Linked DNA regions of Tamandua tetradactyla. The protein of the gene in region 2 interacts with the protein of the main gene of each other region in a pairwise test. Links are inferred from orthologs where the notes say so. Each region holds a gene or a part of one and is shown on either strand. Other genes may lie near its edges.

The links. The genes of interacting proteins can lie anywhere in the genome.
Region 1: the proteins of RINT1 (region 2) and CCDC121 interact in binary tests that used the Homo sapiens proteins (3 or more experiments, as listed by UniProt). The two-hybrid records come from large-scale screens. The link is inferred for Tamandua tetradactyla from reciprocal best matches to the Homo sapiens genes RINT1 and CCDC121.

What each region holds. Positions count from the first base shown.
Region 1 is NC_135329.1:11,550,348-11,557,458, reverse strand, and holds the start of CCDC121 (coiled-coil domain-containing protein 121), read left to right. Parts: upstream 1-4,110; 5' UTR 4,111-4,295; coding exon 4,296-4,627; exon of another isoform or gene 4,628-5,034; coding exon 5,035-5,962; 3' UTR 5,963-7,111. Other genes in the region: GPN1 (GPN-loop GTPase 1), read right to left, coding at 314-380, 1,701-1,740, 3,138-3,231, 3,906-4,016.
Region 2 is NC_135327.1:143,943,414-143,950,997, forward strand, and holds the start of RINT1 (RAD50-interacting protein 1), read left to right. Parts: upstream 1-4,582; 5' UTR 4,583-4,777; coding exon 4,778-4,819; exon of another isoform or gene 4,820-4,887; coding exon of another isoform or gene 4,888-4,905; intron 4,906-5,326; coding exon 5,327-5,375; intron 5,376-5,701; exon of another isoform or gene 5,702-5,918; intron 5,919-6,565; exon of another isoform or gene 6,566-6,822; coding exon of another isoform or gene 6,823-6,832; intron 6,833-7,584. UniProt on the Homo sapiens protein: Involved in regulation of membrane traffic between the Golgi and the endoplasmic reticulum (ER); the function is proposed to depend on its association in the NRZ complex which is believed to play a role in SNARE assembly at the ER.

The DNA.
Region 1 (7,111 bases), on a different chromosome or scaffold from region 2:
ATTATTCTTCCATTCTGTGCCTGTTAAGCCATCCCACTCCCCTCTTCCTCCATCCACAATTAGGATAATACAACAAATGAGGAACAGATTAAAAAGTGAACCCAGATTTTTTGTTATTTTTGTTCTACTGGCTGTCACATAATACTGACGAAAACACATAATACTCCCATAAACTTATTTGCCTAATAAAATGCCCACATATTATCTACAGTTATACTCAGGTTTATGTTTCTTCTTTCCCACTATGCTCAAATGAAGTCATTTAAGAGTCACAAGTTTTTGCAAAGCCATGTCCATATGAACAGACACATACCTGATCAAACCTGGTAGCAAAGAGATTGAGTGAGGTCACAATGCCACCATTGGGCCCAAGTCCATACCTACACACTAGGTTAAGGATTCAAATTGTTTACATATCAATTTAGATTATAAAGTCCATACTCAAGTTATCAGTCACAAAAACAATATTATGGCATTAGTGTGCCATTAATGGATATTCGCAATACAATCCAATAACTAGTTATGTACCATACAATCTTAACCTCACAGGGAATCATTCACTATCATGGTCCTTTGTTCATTTATCACCTTTAGTGTTGGCCAAGCAAAATGAAAATACCAAAGTGACAAAAATGCAATGGACAGAAGCACCAGGCAGTGACAGCCTGTTAGCATTAGCCACTACGGTGGCAGTTTGGAGCTGTCATGTATTTCAGAAAAGGCCATGTTCTGTTCATCCATTCCTGTAGGTGCAGTCCTACTGTGGGCAGGACTTTTTGATTAGATTATTCCAGATGAGGTCTGCCCTAGGGTGGGTCTTAATCCTTTTACTGGAGTTCTTTTTTGAGAGAATAAAAGAGGGAAAAGTCAGGAAAGCTAATAGAAGGAATTCAGAGAAGCACACAGAAAAAGACACAGAAGCTGAGGAAGGAAACCAAAAGTTGAAGGCAACAAAACTCTACATCGAAGGACCTGGGCACCATGTGCCTTCTTATGTGACAGAGGTGTACTGGATACTGGCAGCTGGCCTTCCGTGTCCCGGTGTTATCCTGTTGATGTCTTGAGCTGGACATTTTCACAGCCTAAGAATTGTAAATTGTAAGTTAATAAATCCCAAGTGTAAAGGCCAACCTATTTCTGGTATATTACATTCCAACAGCTTTAGCAAACCAAAACAATCATCTTTATAACATTTCTTACTCTGATTCTGACTAATCAAGCAACTTGCTGGTTACAATTAGTCTTCTTACCTAGAATAACCCACAGGGAGAGAGAACATTTCATACAGCAATGTACTAAGAGTGAATCCTACCAAGCCTACTGATTTCTGAATTTCCCAGTCAGGAGAAGTGGTGATCAAATGGGGTGTACCTTCTAGTGCAATGCTACCTGGTAGGATCCAGGGCAGGCAGTCAGCTAGTCTCTCATTTTCACTGCTCTCTCATTACAATGGCGAGCAATCTGGGAAGATGGTAAGAAAACTGAAATCACAAGCTAAAATTATTATCTTGATCATCTATAATACTTCTCCCACACCCATCTACTATCTCCTCCTAATAAAATCACTTTAAAACAATCTAATGATTTTGCGCCTGTGTTTCAGAAGGAAAGGTAAAAATATTCTTTACAAAGTCATAAAATATACAGAAAATAATGGATCTGGGACAAGTCAACATCAAAGCAGACATAGAAAAGGATACTGTTTCATGACTTCTTTATACTTCACAGTGTCACGAATATCTGGAGGGAAAATTAACTGAAATTTAACACGTAAGAAAAATATAGTTTGAGACCCTCCTATAATATCCTAAACTGACAGTCAGAAAAAGTCATCTCTGCTTCCTCTGAGGAAAAATTAAGTATCTGAGTTACTTTTCATATCATTTATGTAAACTGTTAAATAAGAACACTGAATTGAGATAAGAAAAGAAGCAGGACCATGAGGAAAAAGAACAGAAGCGCAAAAGGTACCCTGGCAGCAACTTTCGTACCAGTAAGAAACTGAAACTAGATTTCTAGGCTTTTTTTGTTGGCTTTCTCCAATTTCTTCACCCTCACATTGGTTTCCTTCCATACAAAGGATAACTGCCACGTAATCTATAAATAATGTTAGTAAAGGAGCTCTCAAACTGCATGGTAGAGATGAGACAAGGTAAAAAATTTTGTATGACTTAAATATCATATTAGTGGCCATAGGCACAGAAAAAGAGTGCTAGATCAAGGGGAAAAAAAACAGATGATTTCCTTCTAATTATCTACTAGTGACAAAGACAACGAAGACATGATTTTTTAATAAGATTTAATATGTCCAGTAATATCTAATTAAACCCATCCAGCAGTCTATAGACTTCCCCTATCAACTATTAGAACTTCATCCTTAAAATGAGATGGGCAGTTTTTTTCACTCTTCCCAGAATTATCTTGCTTCTTAATCCAGTATTCCTTTCATTAATATGTGTGGAGTACACAAAGCTTACTCAGGATTAAGAAGAGATAAGGAGGAATAGGATTTGCACACAGCAATGGCCTAGAAATCAAAGTCTAGATCCTATCAAGAATCAGGACACAGGACTAAATTCATTCTTAACCTTTTTTGGAATCACAGACTCTTCTTAGAATCACAGGAAAATTAAGAAACTCTTCCCAGAGCTTTATACATATATATATATACACATACACACACACACACACATTTAGGGGAGTGGGAGCAAGATTCCTATAGATCAGCAAGTGAACTGAAGCATAAGAACACTTACGTTCTAACTAAACTTTGAGACACTAAATAGAAAATATTTATGCATCAGAATCTGCTGAAAGGTTTATAGTCTAGAAGTGAAAAGACTGACTTTACATCACTTCATTTTCCCAAATTAAAATAGCCTGGCACACTAGAGTCAGAAAGAGAAGTGATAAAGGTGAGTGGGAAGGAGGTAAAGAAATGCAGGAAAGGCAAAAAATAAACAACAACAAAAAAACATGAATAAAGAAGAAGCCTGGACAGGAACTCCAGTGACTCCAAGGGAAATGAAAGTAGATAGTTAAGAGAAGATAAAAAATGAAGGCACTGAAGAAAGCAAGGCTCAGGCTTTCCAGTCCCTTTAAGGCATTTCACACAAGTTCTTCCATGGTTCACTCACCAATATTGGCAGGAAAAGGGACTTCATGCACCGCTGGGTCCAGGTTGATCACATAAGGTGGAGAGCCTTGGCTATGCAGATGTCCTGTGAGCCTCTGCAGACATGGGGAGGGGAGGTGGAAGAAGATATAAGGGGATGAGAAAAATTCCAGTCATTTATCGACCATGCCTAAAGGCATTTTTGCACTTTCATTTCCGTCTACATGAAACATCCGCCCAGATGCTCACCTCCAACATTCAGCTCGCAGTCCAAATGCTGTCTTTTTCTATCCATACAAGAGCCTCCCGTGCTCTCTAGCACTTGTTCTCTGTGTACGGGAGTGGGTTTTTCTGACTCCCCCACCAAAATATAAAAACATTAGTTCCATGAAAGCAGGAACTTCGTCAACCTCATTTTCACCGTATCCCCAGTTCCTGGAACAAGGTAGTGGGCAATAAATAATTCCTGAACAAATCTCCGAGAACCTGTTAATCGCTAGAGCTGCCAGTAAAATCCCTACCTACGAGAACTTCACAATTTTATCGGGAATAACTTGGTAAGTTGTACCAAGTATGTATTGAGCATTGAGGGTATACAAAAGAGAGCCTTAACTGACCGAGGCTAAATTCCGATAAGACTTCGTGGAGCAAGTCACTTAGGCTGAGAAGTCCCCCAAAGCCACGCGTCGCTACCTCCAACTCCCCAGAAAACTCCCTTTCTCCCTGAGACTTTGGCCCGCCACGGACAACCTCTCGCATACATGTTACTACACCCGCGCCGTATACTTACCTGTACAAAGGTGGTTTTCCCAGATCCTGCCATTCCCAACACTAACAGACAGACTGGAGGATGCGGGCCACCTGACGCCTGAGCCTCAGCTGCAGCTGCGGGGGCCGCCATTTTCCTACTAGCTCCGCCTGCCCGACGATAGAGACGATGAGAGGCTAGAGAGACTTGCGCGACGCTCTGGGCTGCGAATGGACGTAAAGCCGACTGGGCCCGGAAGAGAAGGGCATGCAGGGGCGGGACCGGCTGGGGCGCCAACTGGTGACAGTGGGGAAGTGGGGCCGCTAGGAGACCAAAAGGCGTGCCGCAGGGGCCAGGAAAAGGTGGAAAGCCTGGTTCCCAGGAGGGCGAGAGGAGACGGGAGCCCGAGGGCAGGGCTCCCGCAGTAGGAAAATGAGGAGAGTGGGTTTCACTTTCGGCCCCCAAGAAGCCGAGAGCAGAGCTGCGAGAGGACTGGCTGCCAGGGCTTCTTCGGTAACCGCAGAGGTTAAACAACTCACGGTGGCACGGAGCCAGATTGGGGCGGGAAGCGACTATAGGAGTTGCTGGGCATCGCCGAGACACACCGAGCACAAAACAGAGAAACTGCGAAAACTTTCTGCATTTGGATGCCGTCCCGGCTTGTCGCAGGCCCCTGACACTAGCGCCCGCCTCTCGGCTATCGCCTTCAGTAAACTACACAATTACCATCACCCTGGGGATGAACGCGTGTATTCCTGGCACGAGTGAGTTCAGAGGGGGCTCGGGAAAGGTGACGCAAGAGCCGAGAAAAATTATTCCTACTCAGACCTTACCCAAGCCAGTTTCGGTGGCTCTCAAAGTGTTCAGTGAGTTCCGGGTTCCACACCCAGGCTTTGCCACTTGCTGGGCAAATAATCTGAACCTGTTTTCTCATCTTTAAAATTAATAACCTCCCAGGGTTGTAATGATCCAGTATTGTAAACCGAAAAATACTGTACCTCATCTTTACACGTAGTCGTATTCCCCTTGCTTTCCAGTGTCCAGAACACAAAGCGGTGCTCAAAATTACTTTCTTGTATGAATTAAAGTACAAATGTGCGTTTAAAAAAAATTATTTCCTAAATGTCCATTAAGAATTGATGGGGGATTGTCTCACTTGTTCCTCCTTCAGGTTTGCTGAAAGTCCCAGAAGGCCTTCTTCAAGACCTTATCTTGGTTTAAAAAATGGTTTTTCCAAAGAAGAGAATCTAATAAAGGCTGAGATGATACTTAAAGAGAAGACAGTGGTGGAAGTAAAGGAGTTGAAGGAGCAAATAAAACAAGCTCAAATCCAGCAGGAACAGCTCCTGGCAGACAACAGGCATCTATACACTGAAAAGACACTTGTCCAGGCTGAAAACAAATTCTTTCTGGAATACCTGACCAACAAAACTGAGGAATATAAAAGGCAACCTAAGAAGCTGTGGAACAACTTTTTACAAAAAAGTGGGGAGATTGAAAGACATAGGCAAGAATCAGCCTCCAAATACGCAAAACAGATTTCAGTACTTAAAGCAGAGCTCTTGCAGAAAGAAAAGATCCAATTCAATTTGAAGCAGCAGTTGGAAGCAATGAGGGGCATTTCTATAACAAAGGAAAAACAGGAGGCAGAAGTGCAGACATTACAGAATGCAAAAAAGAAAGCCGAAACCAAGGCAACTGCAAAGATAGAGGAAACAAAGACCCAGTTGCTCCAAGAAAAAGCATTACTGGAGAAACAATTGAGCGAGCCAGACGTAAGGCAGTTGGGAAAGAAAAATAAAAGGGAGGTTAAGAGGAAAAACCAGGCCTTGGAGTGGACCACAAAGCAGTATACTCTTGAATTTTACCGTGGCATTAACAGAGAGAGCCAACAGTTACAGAAGAAAATACTGCAGCTCCTTCAGCAATGCCAGGAGTTGGAGGCTTCTCAAAGCCAGTTAAAATACAGGAAGCAGCAGCTGCAGCAAGAACAGTGGTATCTGGAATGTTTAATTCGGGGGCGACAACGAATGCAAAGAAGGCATAATTGGTGCCTACAAGGACAGGATGCTCCAAAGATTAACCAAAATATTTCCTAAACTAACACTGCTTAAGTAAGCGCTAAAGCAAGTTCTCTCAGGTGTTAAACTAACCAGGTTGGGAAGGTTTGGGAATCCATTGCTATGGTTAAATACCTTTCATGGTGTGCTGGGATGAAAAGATAGGGTGCTTATTTTCAGCGGTCCTCCATGATGTTTGTGTGACCAGCATCCCTTAACTCCCTCTTCATTTAATTAACTCTTGCTAGTAAACAGGGTGTTCCACAAACCTCCACGTTAACTAAAATACCTGACCCTAACTTAACACTAACCACTTACCAAACACCCATACTTCAAACTAACTCAAGAAAGCCAACTTGAAGAGGTTAGACGAAAACAGATGTGTGATTCATTTCATTTTGCTAACTTAAGAGTTCTTTCTAGAACTAGCACCTTTAAGGCCAGAGCAAGCACCTTTAAGGATAGCTTTCTGCTTTGTAAATAATTTATATCGATGTATCCTCATTCCTTTTGGCATTCTCAGCAACGTCAAAAGTGCATTATCAATTCTTATTAAAATTTTTGCCAGTGACGAGGTAGATCTTCTATAGTTTTCTCATTAAGTGCAAAGTATTCTGACAACAGCAAGTCCAATAAGTGCTTGGCAGAATAACCTTTGGTTTGATGCTAAGCCCTTACAATTTTAGCTTTGAATAAACTGAGAAGTTGAAGGGGCCATAAAATAGGTTAGTTACTCTTTTAAAAATGTTTTCTGCGAAGAAACACTTGGAGCATCAGAAACACTTGGAGCATCAGAAACACTTGGAGCATCAGTGGGGTTAATGAATGCCTCTGCTTGTTTCAGGAAAACATATCAAAAGTTTAAAAATATTTGGACAATTTTTTAAGGAGGCTTGTGTCATCCGTTGTCATCCTATTTCCCTAGCAGCATTCTAAATTCCAAGATGACAGGTAGAAGTACTTAAGGATAATAAATATTTTAGTTTTAAGTCATTTATTCTATTTTTGTACTACACATCACTTTATAATCAATGTATGCCATATATTTATGTCCTATGTTTAGAATTGGTGATACTACTTTTAGGTTTTTAGAGTGGTTGTATTTTTTTTTTGCATCTATGACACTAATGGTTAGACCAGTGATTTATTTCAATGTTGAGTCCTAGTTCAGTAATAAAATCCCATATT
Region 2 (7,584 bases):
GGTGATAGATACACAACTATGTGATGATACTGTGAGCCATTGATTGTACACCAGATATGGAATGTATGTGTGTGAAGATTTGTCAATAAAAATATTTTTTAAAATAGAGAAATCGTCACGCATATACAGTACATACATGGTATATAATCAGTGGCTCACAATATTATCACATATTTGCATATTCACCATCATGACCATTTTTAGAACATTTGCATCATTCCAGAAATGGAAATAAAAAGAAAAAACTCATACATCCCATACCCCTTACCTCTCCCTCTCATTGACCACTCATACTTCAGTCTACCCACATTTTTACCCTTTATCCCCCCCCACCCCGTGCGTGTTTGAAAGGCGTATGTACCCTAGAAAAGCCATGTTTTAATCCTATTCTATCTTGGGGAGGCACCCTTTCTTTTAATCCCTATTCAGCACTGCAGGTTGGAAATTTGATGAGATTACCTCCACGGAAATGTGCACGCCCAATTTTGAGTATTAACCTTTGAATAGAGGGAAATGTGACTCCACCCATTCCAGGTGGGTTTTGATTAGCTTACTGGAATCCTTTAAAAGAAGAAACATTTTGGAAAAAAACTTGAGAACCATAAGAGCCCACACAACCAGAGACCTTTGGAGATGAAAAAGAAAAATGCCCTGGAGGAGCCTCATGAAACAAGAAGCCTGGAGAGAAAGTCAGTGGGCGTCGCCATGTTTACCATGTGCTTTTCTAGTTGCTTTTCCAGGTGTGAGAGAAACCCTGAACTTAACAGGCCTTGCTTGAGTGAAGGTAACCTCTTGTTGGTGCATTATTTTGGACATTTTTATAGACTTGCCTTAATTTGGATATTTTTCACAGCCATAGAACTGTAAACTTGCAACTTAATAAAAAGTCCCCCTTTTTAAAAGCCATTCTGTTTCTGGTATATTGCATTCCAGTAGCTAGCAAACTAGAGCACCGTCTATTATTTATTATTTTTATCCTTATTTTTTTTTTACTCATCTGTCCATACTCTGGTTAAAGGGACATCAGACAAGATTTTCACAATCACACAGTCACATTGTAAAAGTTGTATTGTTATACAGTCTTCTTAAAGAATCAAGGCTGCTGGAACACAGCTCAACCATTTCAGGTATTTCCCTCCAGTCACTCCAGTATACCATAAACCAAAAAGGGTTATCTATATAATGCTTAAGAACAACCTCCAGGATAACTTCTCAACTCTGAAATCTCTCAGTCACTGAAACTTTGTCTCATTTCTCGCTTCCTCTTTTGGTCAAGAAGGTTTTCTCAATCCCATTATGCTGGGTCCTGGCTCATCCATGGACTTCTGTCCCATGTTGCCAAGGACATTTACACCCCTGGGAGTCATGTCTCCTGTAGGGAGGAAGGGCAGTGAGTTCACCTGCCGAGTTCACCTCTCTGGCTTAGAGAGAGAGGCCACATCGGAGCAACAAAAGAGGTTTTCTGGGGGAGACTCTTAGGCGTAATTGTAAGTGGGGTTAGCTTCTCCTTTGCAGGAATAAGCTCCATAGGGGTGAGCCCCAAGATTGAGGCCTCAGCCTATTGAATTTGTTGTTCCCATTGCTGTGAGAATATCAGGAATTCCCCAGATGGGGAAGTTGAATGTCTCCTCCTTTCTCCCCAGTACCCCAAGGGGACTTTGCAAATACATTTTTATTCTCTGCCCAAATTACTCTGGGATGTAGTGTTACATCACACTAAGCTGTACAAACCAACAGGATCTCATGCCCTATTCATGATTCCATGTAATTATGGTGTTTAAATAAACTGATCATACAAATTAAATTAGGAAATGCACTACCCAAAATATAAATTTTGCACCAAATAAACATTCTCCCTTTGGTCTCAAGTTGAAGTTTTAAAATATGGGCCATATTATCCTTTACCCTATATTCTGATTTACCTTAGTTCTATCCAAGTCAGCTTCATTCATATCTCTAGTTGAAATCTGATCACTTTTTCAACTTTTTAAACAGTTGCTGTATAGGGTAATGCTGACTTCTGTAGCTTCAATGCTCTAACACAGAGTTTCAGGTGTCATAAACATACCCGAAGTTTCAGGGAATGACCAGGTTATACTCAATTAGCTAAGTATCTCAGAATTTAGAAATAACAGTTACAATTCCTGAATATGTGTGACTGCTGAAAGAGCTTATAATTTAGAACCCTTTACAATAGGCCCCAACCTGACAACCCATGCTCTTGATTCAATTTTTTGAGTTTATATAGTATAGCCAGTCCATGTGAGTGAGGCATGATCATATTTCTTTTTGTTTCTGCCATTTGATTCAACATACTGCCCTTAAGTTTCATTCACCTAGTTGCAGGGCTTACAATTTCATTCATCCTTGCAGCCACTCAGTCAGTTGTACGTATATACCACAATTCCCCCTTCCTTCTCTCAGTGGTTGTACCCTTAGGCTACCTCCATTCATTGGAAATCCACCAACCAAGTCCCATACCTATGCCCCTGGCCCTAAAGCCCCCGAAACTCCTAACCTACCACAGGGGGCCCCGTAGGCATCATCAGCACCCCCACTAGCTAGCCTCTATCTAACCCCACCGCCCCCAGGGGGGCGTGACTTCCCCGCCCGCACCCTGAGCACCTGGACCCGGGAACTCCCCCAGGATAATAAACTTTTTTAAACTTGGACTCAGTTCCTCTGATTTTTCAGTTGGCTATCGTTTGAAAACATAACATTATCTATTGACTTCACTTAATGGAAAATGAGGATTTGGTTCTTCTTCCTTTCCCTTATCTTCATCACACTTCTCATATCTCTATCTGTCCAATAAAGTTCTTTTGTGCTTGTTTTTAGAGCTTTGTTTACTTCATTTTGATGAGGTAAACATTATTCACATCTTAGGTAAGTAATAAACCATGATTACTTCACTTTTCCTTCAAGCTTTTGTTTTTTTCTATAGTTAATGATCTTCTTTTGGTTTACTTATTCATCATTCCAAATCCAAGCTCTCTACTAATTGTTGAAATCTCCCCCTCCAGAGGATGAGATACATGAACTGTTCTATCAATTTCTTCTTTCTGAAGAATCTCTTCTGGAACCTTCTGACCTGTGTGGCTCTATGCCTAGTGCACAATTATGGCAATTCACTTTATTTTTCTCCATTGTTTATTTTCTATTTCCTATATCCTGTGTCTTCTTTTCCTTGTTTACTCCCTCATTTTAGGGGAGTACAACCTCTTGCTACTTCCTGAGAAAGGAGAGATAAATGAAACATATATTTTTTTAATTCTTGAATATGTGAACATATCTTTATTTCAGCTCAATCAAGTATAGGATTTAGTTTGAAATAATTTTCCTTTTGAAATGAGAATTGCTTCTCTGTTTTTAGCTTCCTTTGTTATTGTTGAGAAATCCAAAGATTTGTTGAGAAATTAACTTTGTAAATTATCTATTTTTCTCTCTGGAGGTTTAGGATCATCTTTTTGGCCCCCATGTTCTGTAGTTTCACAGTGATGAGCCTGGACACTTAGTGGGCCCTTTCAATCTGGAAACTCATGACTTTCAGTCTGGGGAAATTTTCATGAATTGTTTTGTTGATGATCTCCTCCATGCTTACCTCTTCTCATTTTCCCTTTCAGAAGTTTTATTTTTAGTTTTGGAACCCTTGGACTGGTTCTCTAATTTATCTTTTCTTTTCAATTTTCTATCTCTTTGTTCTTCTGCTTTTTTTTAAAGGATATTTCCCAACGTTTATCTTCCAACTCTTTCACTGAACTTTTCATTTCTGCTATCATATGTATAGCTGCTTGTCTTTGAATGCTACTTAAAAAAAATCTGCTCTTTTTTTTTATGGTTGTGATGGTATCTCATACCCCTCTCAGGATATTCATAATATATTTTTTAGTGTTCTCCTCATTGAACGGTTTCTGTCTCCTCTAGCTTTCTTAATTGCTCAAGCAAGTTGTCCCCACCCCCTTGTGTTTTGGTTTTTATCGTACTATTTTCTGTGCTAGTTTGTTTGTGAAATTGTCAAATCCCCAGGTCCTCTCTCTACTCCTTGCCACTAGGTAACTCCTCTTTCTCTTTCTTGTCAAAAGATAATTTGTGTGCGTATGTGTGTGTGTTTGTGTCTGCACTGGGCAAAGTGTATGTTAGATGTTAGGTGCTGCGACCTCTTCCTCCGTTCAGCTCTCAGAACACTTACAATCAGATCTGCATCCTCCAGGCAGGAAATTGGACGATCATCCGAAGAAAACCTGACCAGCCTCAAAAGAAAGATCCAAAAATACTGACATTGGAAATTCCCCCAACTAAATAGCCCAAACTAACGGCTCCTAGTCGACAAGCTCGCTCACACTTTCGGAACATCTTTAAGTGGAAGCAGAAAAACGAAGGACATCATCTTAAATGTAAATTTAAATACTTTATACTGAATTTGTGGCGTGGAGGGAGGAGTATCGTCAAGCTGCATAATAGAGCGCCCCAACGCCGCGTACGGGGCTTTACCATGGTTGAGAGGAACCTTACTCCCTGCAACAGAGGCGGCTGACTCAGTTCCTGGCCGGCAGGGGGAGCTACGCCGCGCGGCCCGCGACTGCGCGGACCCGGCCTCTCTAGTCGGAGAGGAAGAAACCAGAGAGACGGTAGGAGGAAGTCTCGGTGGCGTTTGGTGTTCAGAATTGAAGTCTGTAAGACTGATCTGGTCTTTCGTCCCGGCAAAGTCTCTGGCCCGGGCTGTATTCCACAGTCCACACTGGCTGCGCATCAAGCCGAGAACACGCGCGGAGGCGGGATGCTCACGGCTGACGAGATCGGCGAAACGCCCGCAGCCCCGGTGAGACGTCCGGGTGAGGGGTCAAAGTAAGGTTGCAGAAACCTCCCGAGAGAGGTAGTCCCGGGAAGATGGCCCTTGTGACCTCGGTAAGGTGGCCCGGGCCACTCCGGTGAGATGGTCCCACAATCCCCAGGGAGGTGGCATTGGTGGCCCAGATCTCCCGAAAGGGTTAGTTCTGGTGAGAGACCCTACAATCCGGGTAGGTGACACGGGCGGTCCCGAGGGAGATGCCCTTGCAATCCTAGTGAAGTGGCATGGATCTCCCGAGGCATCTTGTCCTGGTGACGTGGCCCTGGCAGCCCGATGAAGTGGCTCTGGCAGACCCGGTGAAATGGCACAGACCTCCCAGGGAGGTGGTCGTTTTTGAAGCGGCATCGGACCATTCTAACCTTTCAGGAGGGCACCAAGGAAGGGGTCTGGGACTGCTCGCCCGTCCAGTAGAACCCTGCCTGAGTTCCACCCAGAACTTGGGTCTTAATGTGTTTGTCACACCTCCTCTCCTTTCAGTGCTGTCCTCAGAATGGTGAAGAAGAAAGGAAGAACGTCGAAGAAAAAAGTAAGCAGGCTTCAAACACCTTAGTTTTTTCTGCCCGGCCATCACTGAAAATTCAGCCTTCCGAGGTCCACATCAGAGAAGGGGTCTTACTTATCCTGTTATTTTTAGATGAGGCGTCTTTTTTCTGTACAATAAGCTTATATAATATTAAATACTGGTTATTTTACACACATTTTTGTCTTAACTTTATAAAATTGTAGAATATGGGATGCTTTGGAGAAGATCACTTCCTGATCCCTACTTAGTGCAGGGATTGGTGTTTTCCGTGGAGTTCTGCCCATCATACAGGATTCAAAATAACCTGGGGACCTGCCTGTCATTTACAGTGAGTGAAACACCAACTCATTAAGCATCATGAAATTAGGAGGGACTAATTACCTAGGAGATGTGACCACCACCTTAAATGGATTCGGAAGAGTCAAATGATGACTATTTAGTTGTACTTTTAAACATCAGTGTATTCGCAATTAAAAATTGTCGTGGGATGAGCACAATGGATTATATATAATCTGGATCTTGATCTCAATGCAGAAGGTGTATAAGGTCAGTATCTGCCTTTCCTCCCTAGGATAGAAAAATATGTCAGGATATATATGTTTGTCATTTTACTATCATGAACCGAGCATGGCAGACTATTGGAAATAGGAATCATCAGAAACTTTTGAAGTGAAAATTTATTGGGAGAGTAGGAGGGAAAATACATAATAACTATTCTGTTAGGAGCCTTTTGGTTCTTCTGACCATGCAAAAAGTCTGCGAAGAGTAATGGTAACACTCTTGTACCCTTGTACCCATGTTACCATATGGCCTTTAGGAATCAAACTTACCCTTGACATTCCCACCAACGTATTCTGCCCCAGAAAGAAAACTCTAAGTAGTGCTTAGCATTTCACATTCATAGCCACCAGAATTCAGCTCTTTTTCCTTGAAGGATTTGAGGCTAGGACCCTCCAACTCAAACCCTTCCCTTTTGTACTTTTTGCCCCATTCAGGTACCTGGGAAGTTTAATACCTGCTGAGCAGTCATTTCAGTAAAATGATAGATGTTGATTTTAGCATTTGTCCTGTCTCTGCCTTGGTGGCTCAGTTAATTACTTTGCAATTTGGAATGCTCTTTACAAAAAAATAGAGAAAAATAAAAACCTCCTGTTTTAGCTTCCTTAGTTGCTCAAGCAATTACCATGAATTCGTTGGCTTAAACAATGGGAATTTATTATTTTACAGTTTTGAGGGTAAAAGAAAGTCCAAATCAAGGCAATGCTTTCTCCCCAAAGACTGTGGTATTCTGAGGCAACTGCTGGAGATCCCTTATCCTTGGTCCTTAGCTTGTCATGTGACAAGGCACATGGCAGTGTCTCCTGGTCTCTCCCTTCTCTTCCAGGTTTCCCAGATTCTCTGTTTCTGGCTGTTCCCTCTGTGGCTTTCTCTTTGTCTGAATTTCATCCTGTTATAGAGAGCTGTAGTAATAGGATTAAGAATCATCTTGATTGAGGTGGGCCACACTTTAACTGAAATAAAGTCATCAACAATACCTACTTACAATGGATTCACTTCCATAGGAATGGTTTAGGTTTAAGAACACATTTTTCTGGGGTACATACAGCTAAAAATCACCATACCTTCTAAATCACCAATGTGCCATTTTGAAAAATGTTATTTGATTAAGAATGTACTATGCTGGGTGGACCATGGTGGCTCAGCAGGCAAGAATGCTCGCCTGCCATGCCAGAGGACCCGGGTTCGATTCCCAGTGCCTGCCCATGTAAAAAAAAAAAGAAAAAGAGAATGTGCTATGCTGCATTTAAATGGTTACATCAAAAGGGCTTAATTTTTTTTTTAATATGTAGATATAATTTACTTCTTAAGGTACAGCAACAATAGCATTCACAAAACATCCTGTTTCTTCATAGCTCTACCTCCATTTGTCTGCAGATATACCACACGACTCACTTTTGTTTTATATAAGATAAATAAGAAAAGAAGGCATTGTGACTTCTGTACATAATAGTGATGGATTTCTGAACTAATAAAGTTTTGGTGCAGGCCAGCCTATTCTCCTCATGTGTGAAGAAGAAGAAAATATTTTGGGTTAAGAGTTTGGAAAACATGAATTTTAGTCCAGTTTCCAACTTCTAAGAGTAGCCTGAGGCAAATTTTATAGATTTATTTTGTAGTTGGGAAATTGAGCTGCAGTTTTTTGTTAGTTTTG